7 linked regions of the Canis lupus familiaris genome follow. The protein of the gene in region 6 purifies or fractionates together with the protein of the main gene of each other region. This does not show direct contact. Links are inferred from orthologs where the notes say so. Each region holds a gene or a part of one and is shown on either strand. Other genes may lie near its edges. The genes, in order: NOP56, HNRNPA1, KPNB1, YTHDC2, DHX57, LARP7 and SERBP1.

What was found.
Region 1: the proteins of LARP7 (region 6) and NOP56 purify together in Homo sapiens (affinity purification with mass spectrometry; 3 studies listed by BioGRID and IntAct, with this or other methods). This does not show direct contact. The link is inferred for Canis lupus familiaris from reciprocal best matches to the Homo sapiens genes LARP7 and NOP56.
Region 2: the proteins of LARP7 (region 6) and HNRNPA1 purify together in Homo sapiens (affinity purification with mass spectrometry; 4 studies listed by BioGRID). This does not show direct contact. The link is inferred for Canis lupus familiaris from reciprocal best matches to the Homo sapiens genes LARP7 and HNRNPA1.
Region 3: the proteins of LARP7 (region 6) and KPNB1 purify together in Homo sapiens (affinity purification with mass spectrometry; 3 studies listed by BioGRID and IntAct, with this or other methods). This does not show direct contact. The link is inferred for Canis lupus familiaris from reciprocal best matches to the Homo sapiens genes LARP7 and KPNB1.
Region 4: the proteins of LARP7 (region 6) and YTHDC2 purify together in Homo sapiens (affinity purification with mass spectrometry; 3 studies listed by BioGRID and IntAct, with this or other methods). This does not show direct contact. The link is inferred for Canis lupus familiaris from reciprocal best matches to the Homo sapiens genes LARP7 and YTHDC2.
Region 5: the proteins of LARP7 (region 6) and DHX57 purify together in Homo sapiens (affinity purification with mass spectrometry; 3 studies listed by BioGRID and IntAct, with this or other methods). This does not show direct contact. The link is inferred for Canis lupus familiaris from reciprocal best matches to the Homo sapiens genes LARP7 and DHX57.
Region 7: the proteins of LARP7 (region 6) and SERBP1 purify together in Homo sapiens (affinity purification with mass spectrometry; 3 studies listed by BioGRID). This does not show direct contact. The link is inferred for Canis lupus familiaris from reciprocal best matches to the Homo sapiens genes LARP7 and SERBP1.

What each region holds. Positions count from the first base shown.
Region 1 is NC_049245.1:19,017,361-19,021,363, forward strand, and holds the start of NOP56 (nucleolar protein 56), read right to left. Parts: upstream 2,801-4,003; 5' UTR 2,673-2,800; coding exon 2,670-2,672; intron 2,514-2,669; coding exon 2,424-2,513; intron 2,126-2,423; coding exon 2,011-2,125; intron 1,525-2,010; exon of another isoform or gene 1,457-1,524; intron 1,319-1,456; coding exon 1,157-1,318; intron 984-1,156; coding exon 785-983; intron 686-784; exon of another isoform or gene 555-685; intron 438-554; coding exon 250-437; intron 173-249; coding exon 21-172; intron 1-20. UniProt on the Homo sapiens protein: Involved in the early to middle stages of 60S ribosomal subunit biogenesis. Required for the biogenesis of box C/D snoRNAs such U3, U8 and U14 snoRNAs. Part of the small subunit (SSU) processome, first precursor of the small eukaryotic ribosomal subunit.
Region 2 is NC_049248.1:45,637,728-45,641,945, reverse strand, and holds the start of HNRNPA1 (heterogeneous nuclear ribonucleoprotein A1), read right to left. Parts: upstream 2,801-4,218; 5' UTR 2,548-2,800; coding exon 2,533-2,547; intron 1,982-2,532; coding exon 1,865-1,981; intron 1,558-1,864; coding exon 1,411-1,557; intron 1,282-1,410; coding exon 1,071-1,281; intron 973-1,070; coding exon 880-972; intron 784-879; coding exon 691-783; intron 430-690; coding exon 355-429; intron 162-354; coding exon 3-161; intron 1-2. UniProt on the Homo sapiens protein: Involved in the packaging of pre-mRNA into hnRNP particles, transport of poly(A) mRNA from the nucleus to the cytoplasm and modulation of splice site selection.
Region 3 is NC_049230.1:23,975,271-23,978,770, forward strand, and holds part of KPNB1 (importin subunit beta-1), read left to right. Parts: intron 1-484; coding exon 485-592; intron 593-1,022; coding exon 1,023-1,166; intron 1,167-1,264; coding exon 1,265-1,370; intron 1,371-2,035; coding exon 2,036-2,150; intron 2,151-2,739; coding exon 2,740-2,901; intron 2,902-3,500.
Region 4 is NC_049232.1:3,802,006-3,806,251, reverse strand, and holds the start of YTHDC2 (3'-5' RNA helicase YTHDC2), read right to left. Parts: upstream 2,801-4,246; 5' UTR 2,632-2,800; coding exon 2,448-2,631; intron 953-2,447; coding exon 862-952; intron 1-861. UniProt on the Homo sapiens protein: 3'-5' RNA helicase that plays a key role in the male and female germline by promoting transition from mitotic to meiotic divisions in stem cells.
Region 5 is NC_049238.1:31,071,694-31,075,646, forward strand, and holds the start of DHX57 (putative ATP-dependent RNA helicase DHX57), read right to left. Parts: upstream 2,801-3,953; 5' UTR 2,730-2,800; intron 2,222-2,729; exon of another isoform or gene 2,011-2,221; intron 1-2,010. UniProt on the Homo sapiens protein: Probable ATP-binding RNA helicase.
Region 6 is NC_049253.1:7,458,554-7,462,053, forward strand, and holds part of LARP7 (la-related protein 7), read right to left. Parts: coding exon 3,422-3,500; intron 3,347-3,421; coding exon 2,996-3,346; intron 2,920-2,995; coding exon 2,775-2,919; intron 2,736-2,774; exon of another isoform or gene 2,668-2,735; intron 2,608-2,667; exon of another isoform or gene 2,538-2,607; intron 2,431-2,537; exon of another isoform or gene 2,362-2,430; intron 2,274-2,361; exon of another isoform or gene 2,206-2,273; intron 2,140-2,205; exon of another isoform or gene 2,065-2,139; intron 1,118-2,064; coding exon 969-1,117; intron 416-968; coding exon 297-415; intron 1-296. UniProt on the Homo sapiens protein: RNA-binding protein that specifically binds distinct small nuclear RNA (snRNAs) and regulates their processing and function.
Region 7 is NC_049226.1:43,506,323-43,510,327, forward strand, and holds the start of SERBP1 (plasminogen activator inhibitor 1 RNA-binding protein), read left to right. Parts: upstream 1-1,205; 5' UTR 1,206-1,327; coding exon 1,328-1,640; intron 1,641-3,198; exon of another isoform or gene 3,199-3,213; coding exon of another isoform or gene 3,214-3,301; intron 3,302-4,005. UniProt on the Homo sapiens protein: Ribosome-binding protein that promotes ribosome hibernation, a process during which ribosomes are stabilized in an inactive state and preserved from proteasomal degradation.

The sequences.
Region 1 (4,003 bases), on a different chromosome or scaffold from region 6:
TTATGTTCCCCACAACGCACCGCTTCCCCAATTAGGGCTGAGAGGCTGGGGGCTACTTGGCTCATCTTGGACCGCAGGTAAGTATGCAGGCTCTGGCGGTACTCTGACAAAGACACCACACGACTGGAGAAGCTCTCGATGTTTATCAGGTCGATGGCCGATATGTCCATGCCTAAGGGACACCTAGTGTGAATGCAGGACCAGATATCCACAGCCCCAAATTTATTTTGGTCACCAGGCTATACTGACCCATGGAGGATCGCGAGGCATCCAGAATAGCCTTAGCCTTGGCCCCATCCATTGTCAGCTCTTCCAGCTTCTCAAGCTTCTCCTCATTCAGCTCCCTTCGGTTCCCAATGAACTGAGCAAGGCGGCAGTATGTAGCATTATCGTTGATGATCTTCACCAGCTCAGGAAAGTGATACCCATACCACTCCCTGCAGAGAGCCACAATCACTCCTTGCTCAGCGACTAGATCTCAAAGCTACAACCTCAGCCCTCTATCTATTCTTTACCCAGAGAAAAGGAATCAAGTACAATTCAAAACCTCAACTCCGTGTCCTCCCATTCACAATACAGACCAGGCAAAGAGCCTAGGCTGGGGTGTATATGGGTGGATTTACTCTACCTCCTCTTTCTGTACAGCCAGTGTAAGAACACAGCCTGTGGTAAGCACTGGGAGGCTCAGCCCCACCCCACAGGAAGTGGTCCTGATTTCAGCATGTGAAATTAGCTACACCACAGGCCAAAGACCCTATTTTCAAGGGTCACTTGGGCACTTTACCTGACACGCATGGAAAAAGTATTAATGTCCTTATCCAGCTGGTCCAGGAGGCTGATGGACTGGATAATCATATTGTCCACCCGGTTCACATTAAACTTAACTTTGGCACGAGAATAGCTGTGTCCCAGCCCCAACTGGGCTTTACAAGCAGACAGATCTGTCAGACCTTTCACCAGGTTGTGGAAGTGCAGACGAACCCCTGGAAGAGGACAAGTCAGTGAGCAAGGGAAGGCTCTAAGCCAGTTACGGCGCCCATGGGCACCAAGCCAAGCAGAAGGGCTTCCTAGAAGCAACCTTATGCACCCTGGTTAAGTGACTAGATCCCCCCTCAGAGATGTCAAGAATGTTGTGAATGTTAATAGGTGGTCCCACCTCGCAGGATCTCAGCTATCACGCCTCCAGTCTGGCAGTTGTACCCTAACTCTTCTTGTATAGCAGCACCGATCTTGGGGTCTCCAACCCCCAGGAGTACTTTCTTCTTTTTGGATGGCAGGTGAGTCTCCAAGAGCAGGCGGAGGTCCTCATGAACGACACCTCAAGGCAAAGAATAGAGCTCCCACTAACATGCTGAAATCATAAAAGGGATCCTGTCCCCTTAACTGCTAATTAAATGACAGACTGATCCTACATTTGTCCCACAGAGCATGCTGAGTTCCTTCTTTGCTTTAGGCTTTGCTCAGAGACATGGAGACATCAGTGATTGCACTCAGGGGATTGACAGACTCAAGTCATCACTGCAAAGCCTGCATCAACTATGGGAGGAATAGGACTCAGGTCTGATAGCATGAGTGTGAAATACAGAATTGAAACCTTAAACCCGGAGAAACTATAGAGGTTAAGTATTTAGTATTTGATTCGCCTTTTGGAACTGAACTTATTTTTCTTGCCTTTTCCAATCACTTCAATAATAACCAAAGAACCACCTTTAGCATTAAAGCACACCTACCAGATTTCACTTAATCATTTATCGCTGTCAGGACCACAAAGAAAGCCTCTATCCTGGAATATACACTTTAAACTTTTAGCATACCATATTCTCCAGACCTTGGGTTCTGTTTTAAACTACATCCTGTACACATCAAATACTGCCCAACACGTATCAGATTTGTAAGAAATCAGCTGAGGAAAGGAAAACGGGATCATGAACTCCCTATGAGAATAAGAGCAGCAGCTACTAACCCTGCGGTCATCTCCCTCAAATACCTACCTGGTGGTGGTCGACTCACCTTCGGACACAGCGTTGGCATTTTCCAAGGCAACCTGGGACGAGGCGAAGGGACAAAAGGCCACGAGGCGAACGATGTTGTGGAACTTGCCCAAGTTGAGCACGCACTCCTCCACCTTCGGGGAGAAGAGAGCGTGAATGGCTTTCCTCCCTCGCTCTTGCCTCTAGGGCGCAGTAAAGCAGCGGTTCTCCGTAAAGGAGCCGATTACAGGCCCTAAATCCCGGGGTGCTGGCTTCTACATGCTCCCAACGCGACTGTAGGCACGGATGCAGCGGAGGACCCCCGGCTCCCGGGCTTTCCGGCCCAGCGCACCCCCCAAAGCGCGGCCGGCCACGTGGGAGCGCGCGGTGCATGCTGGGGCCCGGCGGCCCGGGGGGCTGCGGCGCGGCGGCGAGCCCACCGCTTCCACCCACCTGCGGCAGCAGCAGGCTGATCTCCTCCACCTCCTTGAGCGCCAGCAGCGCGTAGCCGACCGCGTGCTCGAACAGCACGTGCAGGAGAACCTGGAACGGAGCCGGGCGCGAGCGTCAGCACGGTCTCCGCGTTCGCCCGCCCCGGCTCCCAGCGCAGGCCCCGGCCCCGGCCCCGGCCCCGGCCCCCGCCCCGACTCGGCCCCAACCTCGGCCTTCGTCTCCCCCGCGCCCACAACCACTCCTCACCATGGCGCCCGCTCCCGGCCCGGCTCGCAATGCGGCGAGCGGGGTCTGGCGCGCGGACCCGGGCTCCGGAGGCCACGCCCCCGAGCCGCCGGCCAATCAGAGGCCGGGGACGATACCTTTGCGGGACTTCGGAGGGGTCCGCGGCGGTGGTGTCGCCCGGAGGGCGGGAGGGCCAGCGCGGGCGCGCGGGCGTCTTCCGCCTTCTGCCGCGGCGCCGCTCCGCGCGGTTGCCGGGGACGCGCGGCCTGGGCCCGGCCCCGCGAGGCCGCAAAGCGGGTCGGGAAGGCGCTTCTCCGGAGAACGCCCCGGCCCCTCGGGTCCGCCTCGCGGGGATCCGGGTGGCGGAGCTCCCTTAGGAGGAGCCGGGCGGGAGGCCGTTCCCCCTTGCGCGGCGCCGGTGGCCGGGGGTCCGGGGGTCCGGGGCCTTCCCCCCCACCCCGGGGCCCCGCCGTCTCCGCTTCCCGCTCGGGGGCCACGCTATTCCCGCGGGCGGAAGCGGGGCCTGTGGCGCGTGTGCGCAGACCCGGTGAAAGGAGACCCACGGCTCCTCGTGTCCCGCCTCTTGCCTTTCGGGTGCATTTTGTTTATTATTTCAAAAATGCTTATTACAGGCGATAAAATAGAAAAGGGTGACCATCTCACCTGCTCCCAGGTCGGTTTCTAGGTCCCCCACGGAAGCAGGACCGGTCCCTTGGGAAGGGCCACGTGTTGCTCGCCCCGCCCGCCCGCCCGCCCGCGGAACCCGCAGTAGCTCCAAGCGCTCTCAGGTGCTTCCAGGTCCTTGAGGGCGGGGTTTGGGCATTCTGGCGACTAATTTGAAATTACCTTTACTTTAGTAAGTAATATAAGAATGATAAACCCCACACTTGTTTATCCTAAAGTGGTAAATTAAAAAATTTTTTTGAGGGGATTTTTATTCCCTATATTCCCATAACTTAAAGCGCATTTACACACTTAATGCATTTTCTTCTTAAGCAATTCATTTCCTTGGTAAACAAAATCCAAATAGTGAGCTCCCTCAAAGATGCAGTGAATCTTAAAAATCTCAGTATTGCTTAAAACGTGATTGAATTCTGCTACATACATTTACATATGATCATGAGTCTGAATCCATTACTGTCTCTCTTTTTTTTCATTACTGTCTCATTTTAAGGTGGAATTGCAAAACTAATGTTACATACATCAGTGTGTTAAGTTCTTTTAAATTATAGATACCAAGTTAAGCAGATGATTCCAAAATATAATGGAAAATAGTAATGCTATGACTGATTTTTTCATTATTTCTGTACTTAACCCTAAATAATCCTGGGGTTACAGGTGCTTATCTACTAAAG
Region 2 (4,218 bases), on a different chromosome or scaffold from region 6:
ACCACTACCACCGCCATAGCCGCCTCCGCCTCCTCCGTTGTTATAGCTGTCATAGCTGCCACTCCCGCCATAGCCACTGCCCTGGTTTCCATAACCCTGTCCACCACTTCCATAGCCTCTGCTTCCTCCAGAGTAACCAGGGCCGCCTCCTCCATAACCACCTACAAGAATACAATTCTTCTCAATAAGACAAAAGTATTTCACAGTCAAAACCTGTGCAAGTGTAATGCCTAAAAGCCTGCTCACAGCATGCTGTTATCAGAGCTGTTTATCATGCACTAGTTTAGCTCTACTAACCTAGTCTAAAGGTTGCCAAACGAAACTCCACCTATATATTCCTTAAAATAAACTTACCGTCATTACCAAATCCGTTATAGCCATCCCCACTGCCACCATATCCACCACCACCTCGACTGCCACCGAAGCCACCTGAAAGAAAGTAGAGTTTTAAACCACCATGAAGTGTACAGAGTATACGTGTTCTATGTTGTTTTAAAGTAGAATTCTATAAAGATACTTCCTGTGCTACAAAAATGATCCCAATGTTGATGATTTAACTTTCTGGTTAGTAAAAAGCCAGATCTACACTTGGATAAAATTTAAGCCAGGAGTTAATCTGCTGCAGAGGAAAAAGGGACCTGGGGATAATCAAAGTATAAATTTATTGTTAACTTTGAGTGGTAAACTTACCTCGACCACTGAAGTTCCCTCCACGACCAAAGTTGTCATTCCCACCAAAACCACCTCCACGACCACCACCAAAGTTTCCAGAACCACTTCGGCCTTAAAACACAAAAGTTTTAAATGTTACATTATACGGATTGGAGAATCACTCAGTTAATTAATCCTCACGTGCAAGGATTAACTGAACAAACGCACCTCTTTGGCTGGACGAAGCACTAGCCATCTCTTGCTTCGATAGGGCTTTCCTTACTTCACAGTTGTGGCCATTCACAGTATGGTATTTTTGAACTAAAAAAAAAAAAAAAATTCCAAGAGAACATGACCTCAGGCTTTAGAACGTAACATGGATTTCAGAAGCCGTAGCAAAGAGCATGCCCGACACTTACTGACAATCTTGTCTACAGAGTCGTGGTCATCAAAGGTCACAAAAGCGAAACCTCTCTTTTTGCCACTGCCTCGGTCAGTCATGATCTCAATCACTTCGATTTTCCCATACTGTTCAAAATAATCTCTTAGATGATGTTCTTCAGTGTCTTCTTTAATGCCACCGACAAAAATCTTTTTCACAGTTAAGTGGGCACCGGGTCTTTGAGAATCCTATTGTTGGGGGGGGGGACGGGACGGACACAATTCCGTTATTTACACCGACCAAGCCACCCCTAACCGCGAGGTCCCCTTGGCGGCCCGCTTCTGCGTCTGCCCAGGAAAGAATAAACCCTCACTCACTTCTCGGGAGACAGCCCTCTTTGGTTCCACGACTCTTCCGTCCACCTTGTGCGGCCGGGCGTTCATGGCCGCGTCCACCTCCTCCACGGTGGCGTACGTGACGAACCCAAAGCCTCTGGAGCGCTTGGTGTTGGGGTCTCTCATTACCTGAAAGGTGAGCTCCCTGAATACTGAGGAGAACCCCGGAACTTCTCACGCTGAGTTACAAATTAAAAAAAGAAAAAGAAAAAAAAAAAAAAAAAGAAAAGCGCGCCCCCTCCCCCCCCCCCCCGCCCGCCCACGAGGCCCTCCGGCTCCCCGGGGCCGCCACACGTGCATCTCCTCCCGGGAGCGCCTCCGCGGCTGGGACCACCCCTTCCGGCGCCGGCCGGCTCTCCGCCCCAGTCCCGTTAACCGCCGTCGGAGCGGCGGAAGCCACCTCGCTCCCGGGCCCTCCGTCTCCGGCACGTCTTACCACACAGTCCGTAAGCGTCCCCCATTGCTCAAAATGGCTCCTCAGACTCTCATCGGTCGTTTCGAAGCTCAAACCTCCGATGAAGAGTTTCCGCAGCTGCTCGGGCTCTTTGGGAGACTAGGAGCGGGGACACAGCTCGTTACGTGGCGCGCCCAACGCCCAGCCCCGTCCCGTTGGGAGGAAAATCCTAGACAGCAGCGTTACAAGGCACGTATTGTTCCCTCGGGTTACGGGAGGCCACGTGCTTCTCCCCTCGGGGGGGACCGAGCGGTGGGGGCTGGGAGGCCGCGGGCGCATGCGCCCCGACTCTCCCTCCGACGCACGCGCAACAAAAGGACTCGGCTGGACGGACGCCGAAGCGGCGGGGAACTACGGCTGCTCCGCAAGAAACTCGCTCCCGGAGACACGATCAAACAAAACCCGTCGAATGCGCCCGCGAGTTCTGCCGGGAGGGCGCAGCCCGGCGCCACAGCCAAGCGCTGCAGGACGGCGGCCTCATGGCGACGACGAGGACAAAATGGCGACCTCAACTTCGGGAGGGGAAGGCCCTGGCGGCCCCCGAAGGGCTGCCGAACGGGCTGGCGCGAGCGGCCACGCCAGGCCGCGTCCTACCGGCCCCAGGGAAGGAGTGAGGAAGGAAACTAGGCGGGAGACAGCGTGTTACTCACCTCTGACTTAGACATGACGGCGGTGGGAGGGGAGACTTTAACGATGCTTACTCGGCGGCGTCCAGGGGCAGAAAGGAGTAATCTAACGAACGTATCTGCCAGCCTACCTTCGGCCTCGCTTTTTTATCCCGCCTCCTCGCTTTAGGCATTGGTAGACTCCGCCCCTGAGCGTCTCTGATTGGATGTTTGCGATAGCCTCCCCCTGCTATTGGTCTATAGCCCCGCACTGCTGCGCAACGTCATCCGCTTGGGCGTTCTACGCAGGCTCCGCCCCTTCAGGTCTATTGGTTCCCGGGTAATATTATTCCTAATTACTGTGATTGGCTCGTCAACCAGTCATTCATATTTGAACGAACCTAAGGTATTTAAATGAATTTTCAATCCATTCCGCCCCGAAATTATGTTCCGCTCAGTTGGCGAAGCACGGTAAATGCTAATATATTACGAACGAGGTTATCAGGTGATTTTTTTTTCTTTTTTTTTTTTTTTGCAAACGACCGCCCGCCGGGCGCATGTGTAGTAAAATGGCGAGTTTACGCAGGCGCACTAACCAGTTCCGCTCGGCGCTTGGAGCACGTGAAATGGCGGGCGGGAGACGGCGGCGACTCTACGGCGCCTGCGTCGTGGCGGGAGTCGCGCCCCGCTCTGCGCAGGCGTAATGGGCGGAGAAAGGGTCCGGTCGCAGGATTGGCCGCGCAGGCGCAGGGAAGGATCCGTTTTGGCGGGCGGTTGGCGTTGCGCAGAAGGCGGCGGCGGCGGCGTCCCGTGGTCCGGCCTCGCCACAGAGGAACAGGGGAGGCGTTGGCGCGAGTGGCCGGTCTCGATTCCGGGTAAGCGGCGGATCGTCTCGCCTACTCATACGAGGTGTTGAACTGACTCCAATTGGGCCCGTTATTGTGTGAAATGAATGGAGCGCGGGGTGGGGGCTCGTAAAGGGGGAGCGCTGGGTTCAGCCAACCAATGGACGGCGGGGGCGGGATGTCTGCCGGCCGGGAGTGCCGTGGGGCTCCGCGGCCCGGAGTCTGACTGGCTTGCGCGCGGGCCAATCGGGTCCGCCTTTGCCGCCGACGGACGGGCCCTCGGGCCCTCGGGACGTGGGGGCGGGCCCTGCGCCCTGAGCAGCGTCCCGCCGAGCCAATGGGCGCCGAGCGCGCCGTAGGTTGGGCTCCTCGGAGGCGGCGGGCGGACTCCGAGGGGGAGGCCCCGCTGTGGAGCCGGCGGCGGGCGGCCTGCGGACGGCGCCCGGGCGGGTCGCCCAGTCAGCGGTGCGGAAGCGGGAGGCCTCGCTGCGGGCTGTGGAGGAGCGGGCGGGAGGGCGCGGGGGCGCGGGGGCGCGCGTTCTCTCCACAGTGGCCGCCGGCGCCCGGCGCTCGGGCCTTCACCCCACACGCGTTTCCGGTAGGGAGACCCTGACTCTGTGGCGTGTCGCTTCGGCTTCGGCATAACCGCTCCACGCGCTCGCGCACGCGCACGCGCACACGCACCCCGGGGCTTCTGGTCGCCCCGCGCGTGGAGGCTCCCAGGGGAGCTCGGCCGGTCGTCGGGAACCCGCTTGGCCGGCAGCGTCCGCGCGCATCGGAACAAGAGCCGCTGCCGTCGCGGACAGGCGCCGACCCACGTGTGCGCGGAACGCCGCGGCCTTCCCCGGACCGGTGGCGGATGCTCGTGAGCCCGCAGGAGAAGTGT
Region 3 (3,500 bases), on a different chromosome or scaffold from region 6:
AAAGTCCAGGTAGTCTCTGTATTGTCCCCAGCTGTGAAACTAAAAGTAGCCCATGAAAAGCAGGATATTAGATGCCTCAACCTAGCACCCTGAAAAAACGTTTTTTTCCCTTTTTTTTTTTTAAACCACTGAGCTCTTGTCATCATCATTCCCAGTGAATATTGTCATTTCCGTCCCTTCTTAATATCTTGAAGAGTCTTCACTCTTTTTCTGCTGTATGGATTGTTAAAATGAACTCGGGGTGCCTAGGTGCCTCCTCAGTTGGTTAAGCATCTGAGTCTTGATCTCAGGGTTTTTAAGTTCAAGCCTGCGATGGGTTCTACACTGTGCATGGGGCCTACTTAACTTACTTGAGGAGATAGATGTGTTTTTTTCTTCAGCTCTAGGCTCAAGTGATAAAGGACCAGTGGCCAAATAAAAATAATGGCCTTATCCTGCAGGTGGCCTTTTCTGTTTCGGAGATCATTTCCTTGACTCTTTGCAGGTTTGTTTGGCAGCTGTGGGCTTAGTAGGAGACTTATGCCGAGCTCTGCAGTCCAACATCTTACCTTTCTGTGATGAGGTGATGCAGCTCCTGCTGGAAAACCTGGGGGTGAGTGTCTACACACATAATCTAATTTACTAGCGTTTGAAGAAATTGGAAAAGATGATTAAAAACGAAGTGAGGGCACAGACGGGTTGCCAGGATGTTGGCCTTAGCCTCATGAAGAAAATTATTCATTTTCATTTTCACAATGTGATTCTACAAAGTAAGGTTGTAAAATTAACTAAAGGAAGCCATGAGCAATACGTGGAACAGGGTGGGCAGGAAGGCCAGTAAAATATATGTGTAGTTCCTCTGTCCAGAGATAGCCACTGTTAATTTTTGGGTATGTCCTTAAGGTCTGTACAGGTATGTCCTTAAGGTCTGTACAGTGTATTAGTAGTTTTATTATTTTAAAAATGTTTCTTTAACCTTTAGACAGAATATTTTGGCTTTAATTAATTTGATTTCCCTCTTTTTCTCCCCTGCCCCCGGTCAGAATGAAAATGTCCACAGGTCTGTGAAACCACAGATTCTGTCAGTGTTTGGTGATATTGCTCTTGCTATTGGTGGAGAGTTTAAAAAATATCTAGAGGTTGTCTTGAATACTCTTCAGCAGGCCTCCCAAGCCCAGGTGGACAAGGTGAGCTTAAAGTTGTCTTTTATGTCCAGCCCTGATGGGATGAATGGGATTTCTGACAATCCTACAACTAAAGGCTCTTGGTATGATGTCTTTTACAGTCAGACTATGACATGGTGGACTACCTGAATGAGCTAAGAGAAGGCTGCTTGGAGGCCTATACCGGAATTGTCCAGGGATTGAAGGGAGACCAGGAAAACGTGCACCGTTGAGTATAAAACCCAGTGGACTTAGTCCAGAGTTCATGTAGCCAAATGGGCTGTGTCTTTGGTTCTGTAGCTTATGAACTAGCACCTATTGCTTAGAAGAAGGGGAGAAGGAGAAGGAACAGTACCCTCATGAAGAAAGTAGCTTTGGAAGAGTATCCAAAGATATAGTCTTTGCTATTTCAGCCCCGCTTCCTCTACTTTGTCTTACCTTTCTTGAGCACCATAAGGAATGGGATCCAGCAAGGCTATTGGTGCTAGTCATATCAACATGAGCCCTGAGTGGCAGTTGTTGAGCGTATACACACCACACATACACACTTCCAGTGCAATTGAATTAAAAGATTAAGAGAGCACATTTCCTCTCCCACATGATGTTTCTGTTATTGATTGGGGAAATATTTGTCCTTTACGTCTTTTGATGTCATGGGCTTAGAGGAGAGGTTCCATTTGTTATTTCTATGCTTATAAGAGGAGTATCTGCCTCTTTTGTTAGCGTGAAGGATGACCTCTTGATTTGAGGAATAGTTTGATATAACTATATGCAACTAATTCTCCAGCCTAAACCTGCCTAATCGGGGTAATATATTTGGAAATTTTGAAATGGGGTATATAGTCCTACCAAAGGTGGGGCAGCTTCATCAGACCTTTTCTTTTCTATTATAGCGGATGTCATGCTGGTACAACCCAGAGTAGAATTTATTCTGTCTTTCATTGACCACATTGCTGGAGATGAGGATCATACAGACGGAGTAGTAGCTTGTGCTGCTGGACTGATAGGGTAGGTTATATCCTATTTCCAACAGCTGAATAGAACTTCTCGTGGAAAATGAGAAGACCTGTGGTAAAGAACTTTTGAGAGTAGCCTAAATGGTAATTACCCACTTATTTGGTATGGCTATTTCTTTAATAGAATCCATGGTGTCCTGTTTCAAGTTCTGACAGGTGATCATTCATTCTAGACCTTAGCTCTAGTCTCATCCCAGACCCTCCAGATTTCTAACTTCTCTTCGGTAAAGTCTGTAAAGTGAATTCTCAGAGGTATAGAAGTAGCATCAGATGTGTGTCCATCCCATATTCTGAGATTGGTCAACAGATTGCCTATGTTTAGCCTCCCCTATTGAAAGTTTCTGAGATATCATTAGAAGAAAGAACCACAAATTAGTTGTGGACCTCAGGGTAAGTCATCCTGTCTCTTTAGACCTCCTTTTTCACGTCTTTAGAGATCAGGTGCTTGACTTTCCCTAAAATTTCTTCCAACTTTAAAAGCTAGGCGAATCCTAGGAGACCCACAATTAGCTTAGCACTGGCTCAAAACAGGAAAGCAGGATGAGGCCAGGAGCTCATTTAGGTGTGTTTATTTTGCACAGGGACTTGTGTACAGCATTTGGAAAGGATGTACTGAAATTAGTAGAAGCTAGGCCAATGATCCATGAACTGTTAACAGAAGGACGGAGATCGAAGACTAACAAAGCAAAAACCCTTGCTACATGGGCAACAAAAGAACTGAGGAAACTGAAGAACCAAGCTTGGTAAGAGCTTGTCCCCACTGCCCTCTTTCTTCCACTTTCTAGGGGAGGAGGCACAGTTTCTTCAGACTGTTCCAACAAGGGATGCCTTTCTCTTGGTGTTTTGTTTTGTACTCTCTCCCATATAAGTGCTTTTGAGCCAAGCCTTAGTTCCTTAGGCTTGTACTAGTGGAGGGGTTGGGCATCCTCAGTATTTCCTTGAGCCAAGTGTTTGATTCCTCTTGGTGATGAAGAACAGAACTTATGTAACTAGAAGTCAGTGAAGTCCCCAACTGATTTTGGGCCCTAATAAAGTTACTGGTAATGGCATTTTCCCAGAATTCTCTTTTCTACTCTATTCCCTTCCTCCTGCTCTTTCCTTTTTTTTTTTTTTACTGCAATGCTTTTAGGCATTGTGTGGCTCTGCAGAAGATGTCCCAAGTCAAGAGTTGTCTGACCCCTACTTTTATATGTAGTTTTAATTTATTCTCCTCTCACATGCTCATCCTCTTACTCCATAGATCTCAGTAAAACACTATTTTGAGTTTTATCTTTTTAGTGTCCCTGCCACCTTCTAATGTAAGTGCTAATGAGAGCAGGTAGTTGGCACATAGGAATACAAG
Region 4 (4,246 bases), on a different chromosome or scaffold from region 6:
GCACTAAACCTCTGAACCATCCGGGCTGCCCTATTATCTCTCTTCTTAACCTAAACCCTGCTAAGCTGAAATTTTATCTTTCTTTCCCTCCTCACTGGAAATTCTGCTCCCCACAGAACATTTTGGCAATGTCTAAAGACATTTTTGGTTTTGCAGGTGGAGGTACTACTGGGTAAGGTCAGATATGCTACAATACACAAGACAGCCCTCCACAATAATTATCCAGTTCAAAATGTTAATAGTGCCAATATTAAGAAACCTTGCTATGTATCAATCCTAGCACCCTTATTCCCAAAATGAAATTGTTCCACATAATTTTAGAGTTCTTCAATTTGGATGGTTCAAATGACTTTTTTCCGTTAGGGGTCAGTGGCCCTCAAAAAAACATATGCTGTTTCTTCCTGGTCCATTGTATTTAGCCATTTCTAATTATCAGATTCTTGAGCTGGTAAGAAAGAAAACAATGATTATGTATTCTACAGTTACCACTATAGTACAGTAACATTAAAAGAAATACTTCTGTAGATAATCATACTTATTATCTTTAGTCTATCTATCCTTTTTAAAAAAGGAGATTTAGTTTCTATGAAAAAAGAAAACATTTCCTCAAGCAAGCAATTTCAACTTTTAAACTATTTCCTTGCATTTAAAAATTTTTTTTACCCCTAAGGAAAAACAAAAAAGGGCAGGATACCAGGAAAAGGAAAGAGCTGAGTTTGGTATAGATACTAATCAATTTATCTACAAACAATATAATTAAGGACATGAATCTAAAACAATAACTCCTTAAATGGAGTGAGAAACATTTCTCTCTTTTTTTGGTAAATAATTCTTTTTAAATAAGAAAAGCTATCAGCTTACCCTTTGCTTTTAGAGACCAAACCAAGAGACTGACTCAATCGATGAATAAAGGCTCTTTCAGTGCTGGTCAAAGAAGAAGGAAATTCCATTTCTACATTAAAAAAAAAAAAAAAAATGGGAATATACAATTATCTTTCAAGGTGCCTCAATATACAAACATAGATATAAAAAATGAAAAAAAATCTTGATTTCTGCTCCCCTCATGATCTTAGGGTTGTGAGATCCAGCCCCAAGTAGGGTTTCTTGATGGGCATAGAGCCTGCTTAAGATTCTCTCCCTCTCTCCCTGTCTACCCCTCCCCCCCACCTGAGAAACTCCACTCTGGGAAAAATGGGTTGCAGAAGGGGAGGGTGTTGGGGGATAGGTAACTGGGTGAGGGCACTAAAGAGGGCACTTGATGGGATGAGCACTGGGTGTTATACTATATGTTGGCAAATTACATTTAAATAAAATATGGGGTACCTGGGTGGCTCAGTGGTTGAGCATCTGCCTTTGGCTCAGGCCCTGATCCTGGGGTCCTGGGATCAAGTCCCACATCAGGGTTCCTGTGCCGAGCCTGAGGCTTTCTCCCTCTGCCTAAGCCTCTGCCTCTCTATCTGTGTCTCTTATGAATAAATAAAATCTTTAAAAAAAATAAATTTAAATAAAAATTTTAAAAAGCTCTAAAAAAAAGAAAATCATATAAGCATATAATCAAATTTATATTTTGTATGAAAAGCAGATATTATTTCAATAAAATTGAATGTCTGCCAGAGTTACCATATTAATAAAAATTAAATCTAAACGTGATAGAGGATTCTAATGTTCACCAAAGATTACTCCTCTTATTTGTGCTGAAATCTTCTTTTGGTATGATGACAGACTGATGAATGTGTTTTACTATTTTAATTCAGTCCTTAACTTGCATCATTAACAAACGGTTCATCTCCTCCCGTGCTGAGGTATGCTCAAGCATTATGAATGCTCAACATCACACTGTCTTTGCTTGCAAAACTGCACAGAATTCATATTTCACTATCTTAGACTGGATTTGTTGTTACATATTAGTGAGGCTCTGTTTAATCTAAGTTCACTCCGTCCAAGTCACTGCCTGTTCTGGGCTTGAAGAGTCCCCTACTTAGGCAAGAAAATGAATGGGCACTGGTCCCCGCGGGTTGGCTGAGGGTTCTGCACGGCACGACGCAAGACAAGGAGCCGACCCTTAAGAGGCGTGAAAGACGTTTAATCTACCAAAACCAGTTTTTACCAATATCTAAAAACTGTGGCTTAGACGCCCCAAGCTGCCTCCAGCCCTCTCTAGGGAAAGAACCGCCTCCTGCAAGGGGGCAGCCCGACGCTTCCCACCTTCTCAGGAGTGCCCGGCAAGCGCCTCAAGCCTGCGGAGCCGCCTGACGCCGCGCATCCCAGGGAGCGCTCCCCCGCGTAGCGCCTCCCGCCCACCCGCCGCGGAGGCCGGCTGCAGTGGGCCGGGGGGGCAGGGGGCGCCCAGGTCTTCCCTCCCCCACCCCCTGAGGCAGCCCCTTCACACGCCGGGTCGCGGCTTCGCGGGAGGCGGAGCAGCCGGCGGGCCCGGTCGGGAACCTCACCTCTCTGGTCCCCGTACCGGAAGCGCTCCAGAGCGATATTGACCGCGATCTTCACCTCCTCGTCTATACGAATGTCCTTCAGCCCCTTAGCCCGGCCCCCGCCCCCCGGGCCGCACGGAGCTGGGCCGCCCCCGCCGCCACCAGGAGCCGGCGGCCGCGGGGAGACGCTGCTCGGCCTGGACATGGCCCTGAGGAGTTCTCCCCGCGGCGGAGCGGCCAGGCCTGCGCGCTGGCGGTCAATGACAGGGACAGAGGGCCGCTGCCGGGCCCGGCCCGCTCCGCTCCGCAGGCAGCCTGCTCTGGGCCAGGGTCACCAGAGAGCCCCCGTCACAGCAGCCGAGGAGGCGGCGGCGCCACTCGTCCCGGCGGAGCGGAGAGCGCGGGCGTGATGACGTCACGGGGGCCGCGGGCGCCGGTGACCTCAGCGCGTCGGCGGCCCCTCGCCGCCCGGCCGAAGCCGGCCCCTGCTGTGCTTCCCTCACCCGGCGCCGGGCCAATTCTGTCGGTCCTCTCCGGTCTCCGCGTCCTCCGCCCACACCCCGCCGCACGGAGGGGATCCCGTGCGTCCTTTTATTCAGTCACTCATTCTTTCCTTAAATCCTTCGTTACTTCACGCCGTGAGCCGGTGCGGGCTTCCGCTCTGTGCCCGGCAGGCGCTGGGCTGCACCCCGGGTACAGGAGGGGACCGGACAGACAGACGTGCCTCCTGCCCTCACCGAGCTCACATTCTAGCCGGGGTAGAGTTGCTAGGTTTAGCACACAGAAATGCAGGATGCCCCGTTTCTTTGAATTTCAAAAGAGGAGTCGTTTTTTAGTATTTCCCATGCAATATTCCGGAACACATATAGTTTAAAAAAAAAAAAAAAAGTTATTCTACCCGAAATGCAATTTTAACAGAGCGCCTGTGTTTTAGGTGGCCGCCCTAAAGGAGAATGACAAACAATAAACAATTGTGCTTAAATGATGTCAAATGATGATTATAAGGGGCACCTGGTGGCTCAGGTCTTGATCCTGGGGCCCTGGGATAGAATCCCACATCGAGCTCCCTGCAGGGGGCCGGCTTCTCCCTCTGCCTGTGTCTCTGCCTATCTCATGAATATATATAATATTGTTTTAAATGATAGTCGTAAGTGCTATAGGAGATGATGAAGAAGGAAAATGGAACTCCTGTTTTGAAGGTCAAAGGAGGTTGTGAGAATGTGCAATTGCTTGCACACAACGCCACTAAGAGAAACCTGATCCCAGCCACCCTAACTGCTTCCACTCTGGTTTTCCCATGGTCCATTCTGCAGAGAGCAGCCAGAGTGAACCTGGCTTATATTTTATATTATAAAGAAAATATAAATTTTATATTTAAAATATAAACCAGGTAGGATGACACTCCTACATGAAGCGCTCCTGTAGCTCCCCCATTGCAACTACTACAAGCCCACAATTTTTTACCATGACTCAAAACCCTGCCTGAGGGCAGCCCCGGTGGCACAGCGGTTTAGCGCCGCCTGCAGCCCAGGGCGTGATCCCGGAGACCCTGGAGACCCTAAATCGAGTCCCACGTCAGGCTCTCTGCTTGGAGCCTGCTTCTGTCTCTGCCTCTCTCTCTCTCTGTGTGTCTCTATGAATAAATAAATAAAATATCTTTAAAAAAAAAAAAAAACTTGCCTGAAATGGCCTCTGCCCTATTTCCGTGAATCTCATCTCTCACCATCTCATCCTCATTTTCAGGGCTCAAATGCACTACTTTCTGTCACTTGAACACATCAAGTTCATTACCATCAGAGGAACTTTACATTTACATAGTT
Region 5 (3,953 bases), on a different chromosome or scaffold from region 6:
TATTGCAGTTGTTCAGGCAGAACAAATAGAGGAAAAATAAGGTGGTTTGGACTAGAGTGGGAGTAGTAGAGTTGAAAACTGGTCACAGATTTTCTGAATGTATTTTAAATGTAGATGAATTAGACGAAAAGTATGAGAAAGAAATGTCTACAATTTTGGCCTAGGTTAACTGGGTAAATAGTGGTGTCATGTGCTCAGAATTGGAATATTGGGGAGGAAAAGATCTGGGGAGGGCGTCACAAATGCAGATTGGATATGTTGCCTTTGAGATGCCAATTAGATACTTACATGGAGACATACTGAAGGTAGTTGAATATACCAGTCTGCATTGAGGGGAAAGGTAAGATTATTTCATGTAACCCTCTAAAAATCTAGTACAGTAAATATTATCATCTATATGTTACAGAGGAGGAGCTTAGAGGACAAGTAAATTATATAACTTGTCTAATGTCACCTAATGTGTAGAAGCAAAGTCTGAAGCCAGGGTTTGAAACAATCTGTTTGACATCAAAGCCAAAATTCTTTTTTTTTTTTTTTTTAAGATTTATTTATTCATGAGAAACACAGAGAGAGAGGCAGAGACACAGGCAGAGGGAGAAGCAGGCTCCATGCAGGGAGCCCAATGCGGGACTCAATCCTGGGACTCCACGCCCTGAGCCACCTGGGTGTCCCAGCCAAAATTCTTTCTACCGTATCTCCTCCTCCTCACCATCAATATGTACCTTGTATCGTCAATGCAAAGTTCAGTGATAAACCAGACTTCTTTGGATTTGTGCCTGGGACTTAATTTATAAAAGTGACAAGAAGAGGTCAATGTCACCAAAAGAAAAGTGTAACGTTATTCCCCGTTTGGCCAGAAAGGAGAGAAGTACATCACGCCACGCCAGGCCAGGCCACAGGAGGAAGCACCAAGTGTCAGTCAGGAGGCACAAAGGAGCCAGGGGAAGGCAAAGCCATAGTCCTTCTTAGGGTTTCCACAGGAAAGGCAGGCAGAATAAACAGTTTAGGATTGGCCAGTTAAAATAATTCCAGCAGACTTGGGGCATAGGGGCTGTCCTGGTTGCCTGTGACCTGACCCTGGGTTGATTTGGGGGTAGGGAAAAATTGGCTTGGTGGGCAAAAATTACTTAAAGCAGGTAGGTCGTTGGGGGTCGGTCTGCATATGAAAAGCATGTTCACAGGTCAAGGTCCGTTAACTATCCCTGCCAAGGGCAGTTTCTTGGCGAGCCAGGCCCCTAAGGTGTCAACATATAATAAAATATGGAAAATAAAAAATGATTAATACACTTTTCCAATCCAAATTTAAAATCCCGTAACACCCTGGGTGGCTCAGTGTTTGGGCGGCTGCCTTTGGCTTGGGTTGTGATTCTGGGATCTGGGATCTAGTCCTGCATAGGCCAGGTGGGATCCAGGCAGGCTGACCGGGGCCGGTGAGTCTGGACCAGCAGGATCCCAGGGACCAGCCTGCTATAAAGAGCCGGCTTCTTCCCTGCCTGTGTCTCTGCCTCTCTCTCTCTCTCTCTGTGTCTCATGATTAAATAAAAAAAAAAATTTAAATCCCTTCATTGCAAGTTTCCTGACTCCAGATCTCTTAGATAAGAATATCCTAAGAAGCCCAACTACCTCAAATTCTTCTGTAAAAACAGTGGTGCTTATATGTATATATATACTCACAAAAATGTAGGGTCATTAAAAGCGTAACAAGAGGTCAAAAAAATAGGACAAACTGAATTCTGTAAAGTTGTGCATCAATAATTACTTATTATTTCTAGAACTCAGAAAAAGGGAAAGGATATACAAATCAGACAGAAAGATCAGAACTTCGGCTCAAAAAACACCCAGACCAGGTAAGTTTGTGTAAGTAAAATACATTAGGAAAAAAGCAAGAAGTTACCGCGCTCTGACTTTTAAAGAGTGGGTAGCCAACCAGAGCAAGCCCCAGCCAGCTTGGCTAACAACGATCAACAACCTGTCTCACACCCATCCAAAAAAAAAAAAAAAAAAAGTCACCTTCACAACCTGATCTGCGATCTGCTCTCAAAATGTTGAAGGAAGACTTGCTGGCTGTATCCAATACGACTCACTCCAGATGTTCTCGAGGGAATGGGAATTGGGTTGTATCATCTACAAGGATAAATCTACTATTTTATTCCATTTAGCCTGGGAAGATTCCAACTACTTTTTCTTCACCGTGGACACAGGGACCTAAGTTGGGCTCAAAGAGGATCCTTTGTTTCACACCCAAAACAGGCCCCCAGGCGCAGAATCACCAAACGGGATACTTAAAACCGATCACACCCACTCCCTTCCCAGCAAACCTCTGGCCCCATAGAGCCAGCTCCACGCAGATGCCCACACCTGGTACCTTTCTGCCAGCAAACACTCAGACCCAGATGACCAGGGACAAGAAAGGAAACCCGAGCCTCTCCAATGCAACTCTTTACCCCTCCAGCCGGGACGCGGACAACCCGGGATCCTGCTGGTGCAGACCCACCGGCCCCGGGCGGCCTGCCTGGATCCACCCGGCCGGACGCTCCTCACACCCCGACCACCCCGGGGAGGGAGGCGGGGGACGGCTCCGCACACCGACAACCACGGCGGCACACATCCCTGGTCCGCGGAACGGGAGGCCGTGGTGGGCTCGCAGCCTGCTTCCCGGGGCGGCGGTCGGAGGCAGCGCCCACAGGCGAGGGGTCCCGCCAGGGCTTCGCCACCCACCGCGACCTCACCTGGAGCGGCTCCGCCGCGGCCCTTCTGCGGCAGCACAACCTGCTGTCTTCTGATTGGCTCCGCTTCGGCCCCTCGCATATTCACTTCCGGGTGAGAGGTGCCTCGTCGCCCCGGCAACCAGGGCGCGCTCCGCACCCACTTAGCCCTTGGTTCCCTCATTGCGGTAGAGCTGGCGGCCCCGGAGGAATCGCGGAGTCAAGAAAATCTCTGCCACACACCTCTGTCGAGTGAGTGCCCCTCCTCCCAATGCCCCGAGCGCGGAAGGGCACAGGGCTGCCCCAAGGAGAACTCCCCTTACGCCGCAGCGTGGCCCCTGGTGGCTCCGGTGTGGCTGTGACTTACTTCCTGATCGTCTACACTGGGCATGGCGTGGGGCACACGGAGAACCCGCCTGGCCTGGGGATCAGAACACCTGGATTCTACCTCTGATTCGGCCATCGACTGGCTGTTGTGAAATCTTAGTCAAGTGCCATCATCTCTGGGTTTCAGTTTCCTCTGTGGTGCCAGATGGTCTCCACATCTCTTAGGTTCTCCCTCGCTCTAACATTACAAAGTTTCAAATGTGGAGCAATTTAAGGGCATTTGAAAACAGGTTTTTTTTGGGAATCCTTGGGTGGCTCAGCAGTTTAGCGCTGCCTTCAGCCCAGGGTGTGATCCTGGAGACCTGGGATCGAGTCCCACGTCGGGCTCTCTGCATGGTGCCTGCTTCTGTCTCTGCCTCTCTCTCTGTGTCTTTCATGAATAAATAAATAAAATCTTAAAAAAAAAACAACAGGTTTTTTTTGTATGATAAAGCACTGCTTGGTAAGCACTTAATGCCTGCTTCCCAAGTGCCATTCATTCACTAGACATTCAGTTCCTACGAACAAGTACTAAGCACCTACCACTAAGTACTAAACTGGACACTAGAGTGAGAAAAAAAAGATTTGACTAATCCCTGATCCCTGACCTGGGCGAGCTGGGTATTGTGATTGGGGATTCCAGCACAAAAGCGTTGTTTTAACAGGGTTCTAAGTGTGTGGAGACGCCTAGATGAGTCTAGGGTGAGGGGAGATAAGAAAGGCTTTGCTCAGGTGATACCTGTCTTTTTCTTTGTGCTTTTTTTCTGGGAAAAAATTGCAACTTCGTATCCCAGTTCACCAATTTACTTTTCCGTTGTATCCATTATGCTATTCAGTCATTACACCAATTATGTTATTCATTTCCTAGATTGCTAATTGGTT
Region 6 (3,500 bases):
CATTCAACTACACAACAACCATTAAGGGCACCTTGAAAAATAAGAAAAAAGTACAGTTCTATAAAAGGATGTTTAAACTGTACTCAAGTCTGATCTAGTGTACAATTTTAGACTTCAGATTTTGCTTCAAATCAAACACAATAATTATTGTGGAATCAAATCATACAAGTATTTTTCCACAGAGGAATAAATTCTAATTTGATTTGCTTGGTTTTCTATAATGCAAAACATTTTCATACAGGGAAATTTTAAAGAGGAAAGAGTTAACAACTACCCCTGACACACAAAAGCATTACCCTGACTTGTTTCCTGCCAGGTAGAGGCTCAGTGCTAATGATCTTCACAATCACGCCACTCACAAACTGTGGTCCCGCTGCATTAACCTTTTCCTGGGAACAACACTCTTCACTGTTTGCTGTTGATTTGAAAAGGAAAGGCCAGAAATAAGCCTCTTACACTTAATAAGTTAACATAGTAGGCCCATTTTAGAATAACAATGAAGACTTAAGCTGATTTAAATAATTAATTCAAACTTAATTTTAAATTAACTGTAAAATAATTTAGTAAGTTATGTTGCCTGTCCTGCTTATTGCAGATTACCATGAAATAAAATACCGTAACTTATACCACTCTAATTGCAAAGTGTTGTTAGAAAAACATTTGTAAAACCTTAAAAAAACAAACCCCGACCCTTTCCCTTAATCAAATAAAAAAGTACTGAACTTAATAGACACAAAATAAGTAAAAAGATTCTATAAACATGATTAAAATGTGAAAAAATTATACTTTCAACTTTTAAGAATTCAAAATAATATCTTAATATATTAGGATAAGTTACGGATGAGAAATTACAATTTTTGTTACTACAAAACTTGCTTAATTCATAAACTAGGCACTCATTACTAAATCTGATGAAGAATGAAAATTTAATTATGTAATGCTACAAAAACTATCATAGTGCTGTTTACTTTTTTCAGTTTTTATTTCAGATGTAGTAGGTACTCCATTTGTTTCCATTTTTGACTCTGATTTCATTTGGGATATCGTTTTTTTTAAGGAAGCCATGCTGGCCTTTTGCAGTGCTAAATACTCTTTTTTCAAATCCATCCATTCGCTCCTGCAATGAAAAGAATGCACTTTTGAAATAGTGAACACAGATGAGCAAAAGTAAATATCTAAATACATACATTCAGTATCTTGTAAGCGCTCCTAACTTTTCCTTCTTTAAACACACACATTCAAATTACTTCTAGAGTTCTAAGCGATCCAGGAAATATGAAAAGGGAAGTTTCCCCTGACCTAACATTTAGATTAAATGTTTTAAATTTTGCAATTCAATTCTTGAGTATGTTTCAAATATTTTTATTTATGAAAATAAAAATTTTGAATTAATTAACTAGTGACAATTAGTCATCTCTGGGAGAATAATTGCAGATTATAATTTAAAGATTATTAGTTAAACTGCTTCCAATTTGGGAGATAACATCCTTTATTATTTACCCGAATCAAAAGGAATTTCTAAGAAGAAAAAAACACCCCATGGAAGCAATTTATTTATTTACATACATTTAACATGTAGATGTTTCTTCAAACAGCTAGAGGTCCTCCAGATAGAAACACAATGCCTCTCCAGGCTCCACAGGAGCACTCATTGTTACTCTAATCTATGCCATCAAACTAGCAGATAGGGGATTTTTTTTTTTTTTTTTAAAGAGGAGGATATCTTGTGGTAATGGTCTTAGCTGTTATTATTGACATCTGTATACTTCAAAAAAAAAAAAAAAAAGTATCCAGACCCACCCAGGATCGTACATTCCCTGAGAGCTGATACATTAGAATAACAAAAACCTCTTGTAATGATTCTCAGAGATAAAAAGGCAAAAGGAATTCAGCAGTTAAGAATAGTATAAATACAAGTGCCCGAAGTCCTTGCCTTTTAACCTTCAAGGGGAAGACAAAACGCTGGGAGAGTACTATTCGGGGAAAATTAAGAAAATCTTTCTTCCCAAAGGTATGGAATTTTTTTTTCTTTTAACTTGCCTTCCACCCCTCAAGTGGATTGGACTCCCTTTAACTTTAACATGGAAGTACTTTCTTTGACTTTCAAAATAGTAAGTGCTTCCATGTTTTAGTAGAAGTGAACCCAAATTATTCCTCCGAATGTAATATGGCAAGTTTGTTAATTTTAGAGCCCCGAGGGATTCCCCTTTGCTTTAACATGGGGGTACCTGCTGTGTAAAACAAAAGTAAGTGCTTCCATGTTTCAGTGGAGGTGTCTCCAAGTGGACACGACTTAATTTCTAAGCTTACTTTACAGGTTAAAGAATCTTCACAATTTACGTTTTTCCAAGACTGGGCTCCCCACCACTTAAACGTGGATGTACTTGCTTTGAAACTCAAAAAGTAAGTGCTTCCATGTTTTAGTGATGGTAAGTCTTACTTTTACATTTTAGAAGTTTATAAATATTTAAGACTGCCTCACCGAACTACCTGTCTGGTATACTTACGCTGTATTTTTTTGAGTCTATAAGGAACGCCCTCTACTTTAACATGGAGGCACTTGCTGTGACATGATAAAAATAAGTGCTTCCATGTTTTAGTGTGGTGGTTTCCTTTTTAATCCTCAGTCATCCTAATCCCATAATTTATGCAGATCTTGGCTACATGCCATGACTGTTGCTAATATGCAACTCTGTTCAATACAAATTGGAATTGCACTTTAGCAATGGTGATGGAGGGTGTCCATCTACACCAGAACTCTATTGTCTACCTACTTTGAAAGGACTCTTAATGGTATAACTTCTTCTCCCATCTTGTGCCTCTCTTTGTGTTTTTTCTTATGCTTCCTTTTTGCTTTTAAAAGGGATCCATCTTTCACATCTCCAGTATCCTTTTCCTCTTCAGTAGAGACTTCTAAATCTTAAATGCCAGAAAGGAAAGACATAAGTTTAAGAAAACTTTGATTATACAAGCTCAAGATAAATGTTGTTGATACCTTTGTTTTCTTTGGAAACTTCTAAATCTTCTTTTTTAATGTCTTTCTGAGTCACTTTCTTTACTTTTGACCTGGGAGTTGGGGATTCTGCTTCTTCAGAAATACTTCTCTTTCTCTTTCCTGTTCTAACTATAGGTAGGCTGGATACTTCTTGTCTTTCCCGTTTTTTCTTTTTCTTTGAGGGCGGCTTTTGGGGTTCAGTTATTTCTACCTCTGATCCCTCAGACGTGGTCCTCGATCTTTTCATTTTAGCAACACTCTCCTTATCTGTGTCCGTATTTAACTCTTTGGTCTGGATACTGTCTTCCTTCTTCATTCGGCCTTTCTTCTTCTTCTTCTTTTTCTTTTCTTCTGTAACGATGCTATCATTAGTTTTCATTTTCCTTCAACTACATATGCTTAAGTATTAATATTGAATTAAATTACCTGATACTCTAAGGACAGGAATGGGCTTATTTTTTACTGTCTTAGGAAATACACCAGGTTTTCTTGGTGCTTCTTCTGG
Region 7 (4,005 bases), on a different chromosome or scaffold from region 6:
ATAGGTAAAATTCTCTGAGGAGCACAAGTAAACCTCAGAAACTCATAGCCACACAATTCCTCTAAATGGGGCTTATCTGTAAGTATTCTTATTGTAATAACACTTGATAGTCATAAAGATCTGTTTGAGGAAACCAGGGATCTATACATAAGATAAAAATTGCTAAGGATAGTCCTACCCCACTCCCTAGCTTGTGGTAACATGGGTAAGTTAGTAAGAGTTTTACCAAATATGTTTGAATATGCACTGACATCATCTATTGCCTTACTGGACCTTAATATTCCCAACTAATATCAATACTTTTAGTAATGGCAATTAATTTGCTGACATATTTTCCCTACCCTCATCGCATCCCTCGGCACCCTTACACACTCGGATGCTTTAAAACGTTTCTTGAGCACATTTTACTAACACCTAATCCTTGGCTTCCCGGACGCTAATGGACAACTGGATTGACTTCAGAAAGTGTTCCTACAAACAGTGCTTTTCGAGGCTTGCCCTCTGTCTAGTTAGTGCCGCACTGTTAGGAGTTAGCTGCGATGAATGCACCCATCGCAACACTCAGGAAAGGCGCGCAACACCGCCCTGTGAGACAGTTCAACTCGTCTCTGATTAATTGCGCTAACCCAGTTCGTGTCCCCGCGAGAGAAACCGTATTCCTCCTCACATTGAACAGAAGAGTCTCGATTCATTATTGGCGGTGCAAGAGGGCGACTCCAGCACCTGGGCAGCTAGGGACTTGGAACGGATCGGGACCTGCCTCCGCGAGGCCCGCGGGGTACCTCAGCAACACCCTAGCACTAGAAGTTTGTAAAATCTGGAGTCACCTTGACCCACCCCCGGAGGTGAGGAAAGTTAGTCCTGGACTGGAGACGGGGTGAGTAAAACCAGAGACAGAGAACTTTCGCGAGCGAAAAACGCCGTCACGTTTTCCTGTTTTCGGTGTAGCTCAAGACCCAGAGAGTTTAAGGGTGGCTGGAGCAGGTGGCAGGACTCCGCCCACCACCGCGCTTCCACTCCCTCTGCTAGCACGCTCCACTCCCTCCGTGAGGTCCCGCCTCTTAGGCGCGCGCGAAGAATTGTCACGCCACGCATCCTGGGAATTGTAGTCTTGGCGCCGGGGGCCGCCTCAGGAGAAGCGACTCTGGCCTACATACCCCATAGTGCCGTGCGGCGCTGGCCGCTCCCGGATGTGTGCCTGGCGCCGGAAGAGAAGCCGGCCCCCCTCTCTCGGCCCGGCCATCTTGTGGGAAGAGCTGAAGCAGGCGCTCTTGGCTCGGCGCGGCCCGCTGCAATCCGTGGAGGAACGCGCCGCCGAGCCACCATCATGCCTGGGCACTTACAGGAAGGCTTCGGCTGCGTGGTCACCAACCGATTCGACCAGTTATTTGACGACGAATCGGACCCCTTTGAGGTGTTGAAGGCAGCAGAGAACAAGAAAAAAGAAGCCGGCGGGGGCGGCGTTGGGGGCCCTGGGGCCAAGAGCGCAGCTCAGGCCGCAGCCCAGACCAACTCCAGCGCGGCAGGCAAACAGCTGCGTAAAGAGTCCCAGAAAGACCGCAAGAACCCGCTGCCCCCCAGCGTTGGCGTGGTTGACAAGAAAGAGGAGACGCAGCCGCCCGTGGCGCTTAAGAAAGAAGGTAAAGCTGTGGTGGAAGGTGGGGGAGACCGGGATGGAGGGAAGGAGCGAGGGGGACTTGCGGCTACCACTTGCTTTCGGAGTTCCGAGGGCCCGCGGGAGGCTTGGCCGCCGATTGCCTCCCGTTTCTCCTCGCGCTACAAAAGCCAGGTCCCGCGAAGGTGCCGGGAGCGTGGTAGCCCCAAGTTGAAGCCACCTGCGAGGCTCCTGGAGTCACCCCCTTCCCGCCTCAGTTTCTGAGCGGAGGAGCGTGCCCCGGAGATAAGCTGCTGCTGCTCGAGCGCGCTGCTGTCCTGGGAGGCTGTTGCCTTCCCGCCGGATTCCTTGGCGGGCAGGCGCGGCGACCGAGGTCTGAGGTCTGGGCGAGCTGGCCACTGACTGAAGCATTTGCAGTTACGGGCAGGCGTGGGGTCCACGGCCCCTTCCCACTCGGAGCTCGCCCTCGGCGTGCTGCTTTGAGGTGCGCTTGGCTCCTCTCCTGCCATCTTGTCCCACGAGGGCGCGGAGTACCCCCCAGCGAGACGCCGGGGGTCCGAGTGCACCTGACCTACTTCTGGGTTCCGTGGAGTGAGCTACGGCTTCAGGTGCCCCATGTGCCGTGTAGTCCCCTCTCCTCCCTTCAACTCGTAAGAACAACTAACTTGCTGGAGCGAATTAAGCTTTTGAGAAGACAAATGTGCTTACACTGTGGTAAGCAGAGGCGGGAATTCTGAACGAAGACTGGTTATTGCAGGAAATCCTGAGCTCGTCCTCTCTCCCCGACACCCCATCCCACCCCCTCACTCAATATTTCGTGTGGTGGCCCGGCCGGGGCCTCGTGGTGAATTGAGTGCAGAGGCTGTCACAACGTTAGCCCCAGCAGAGCGCTTTTGAATCTGTAGCTTTTTTCTCCACGTGTGCGTGAAGCATGGTCGGGATTCATTGGCGGGTAATAGTTGTTTCCAGAGGTCACTGTAAACTTCACAGGGTTGTCTTGAGGTTGATTTCTGCATTCTCTTATTGCTGGTTTGCCTTCTGTGTGGACAATAAAGCAAAAACAGTTGGAGGATAAAACGTGTACCCGATCAGCTCCGGAACTTTAAAAGTTGCCTTTTTATGTTAAAAGTTGAAATTACCTTTTACTGCCACGTGCTCCTGAAAGAAGTTGTTTCTCATTAGTTTTGAATTTTGTAGCATACAACTAATTTTCAGAATCACCAATTGTGTTAGGTTTTGGCTCAAGGTTTTTTTTTTTTTTTTTTTTTTTAATACAGAACTCCTGTGATGCTTGGAATGAAGAACCTATGATGAATAAAACAAAATAATTCTTGTATCAAAATTACAGGTTGGGGAGAAGCAGAATTTGGAGTGTTGGAAAGCTGGGTATACTTCGTTTAGACCAAATATCTATTCAGTCATCTTAAGTTTTAAAGCAACCTGTAGCACAGCTAAATAATTATTTAATTTCTGCGTTAAGGGACACAGGCCTGTGTTAATTATTATTTTTGCTCAAGTTTACCTCCTTGATCTCATTAATCCAAAAAAGTGCCTGAAAACGTTGAGCCTAATGTTTAAATCTTAAGTGTACCAGGTAGATGTGTTTCACCCATTTTGAATGTTTAAAGCATGAAACCTGGTTTAAACCCCTCAGTTGTTTTGATCATAAAGCCCATCTTGGAGGAGGTAAGCGCTTAACCTGGGACCTAGTATTTTAAATTACAGAGGTGGAGAATTATTATATGAGTTTATAACCAGAATGGAGTTCACCATTTAGTACTCTTTCCTTGGGAAAACTTCCATATTAGCTATCAACGTCTTCCTTAGATCAGCAATACATAGCAGTCTTGCTCTTAAATTGCATAAAACATAGTCTTAAAAATAAAAGGGAAATGTTGAATGAAAAAGATTTTTTTTCAGACCCTACTACCTGTCAGTTGATGTTCAGGGGCATTGGAGAAGGATAGACTTGTAAAAAGTCCACTTCGTGCAGTGGGAAAAATTGCTACCTGATTATGTGATCTTTGCCTTTGAATATAGGTCCTGGCAAATGCTAGACATACCTTAGATACAGTATCTAACATGATAGGAGTTTTGTCACTTGTCTTTTGTCCATTTGAAGAATTTGAGAACTGACACCACAGAATGTCATCGCTAAAAATGTAGACCAAGGCGTTTTTAAATTTTTTTTTTTTTTTTTCCGAAGCCTGGAATCGACTGAAAATCCAGTGAGTTTGCAAGTACATACAAGTAGGTTAAGAGAAGCTTGAATTTTTAAATGTCAGTCATAGGGTGAAATTATTTAGTAAATTTTTTAGGTTCTGTAAGCATAATAGTGAAATTGGGTGAGGAAGGAAGCCATTGTTCATTTGGGTGTGTTTGGCTTGGAT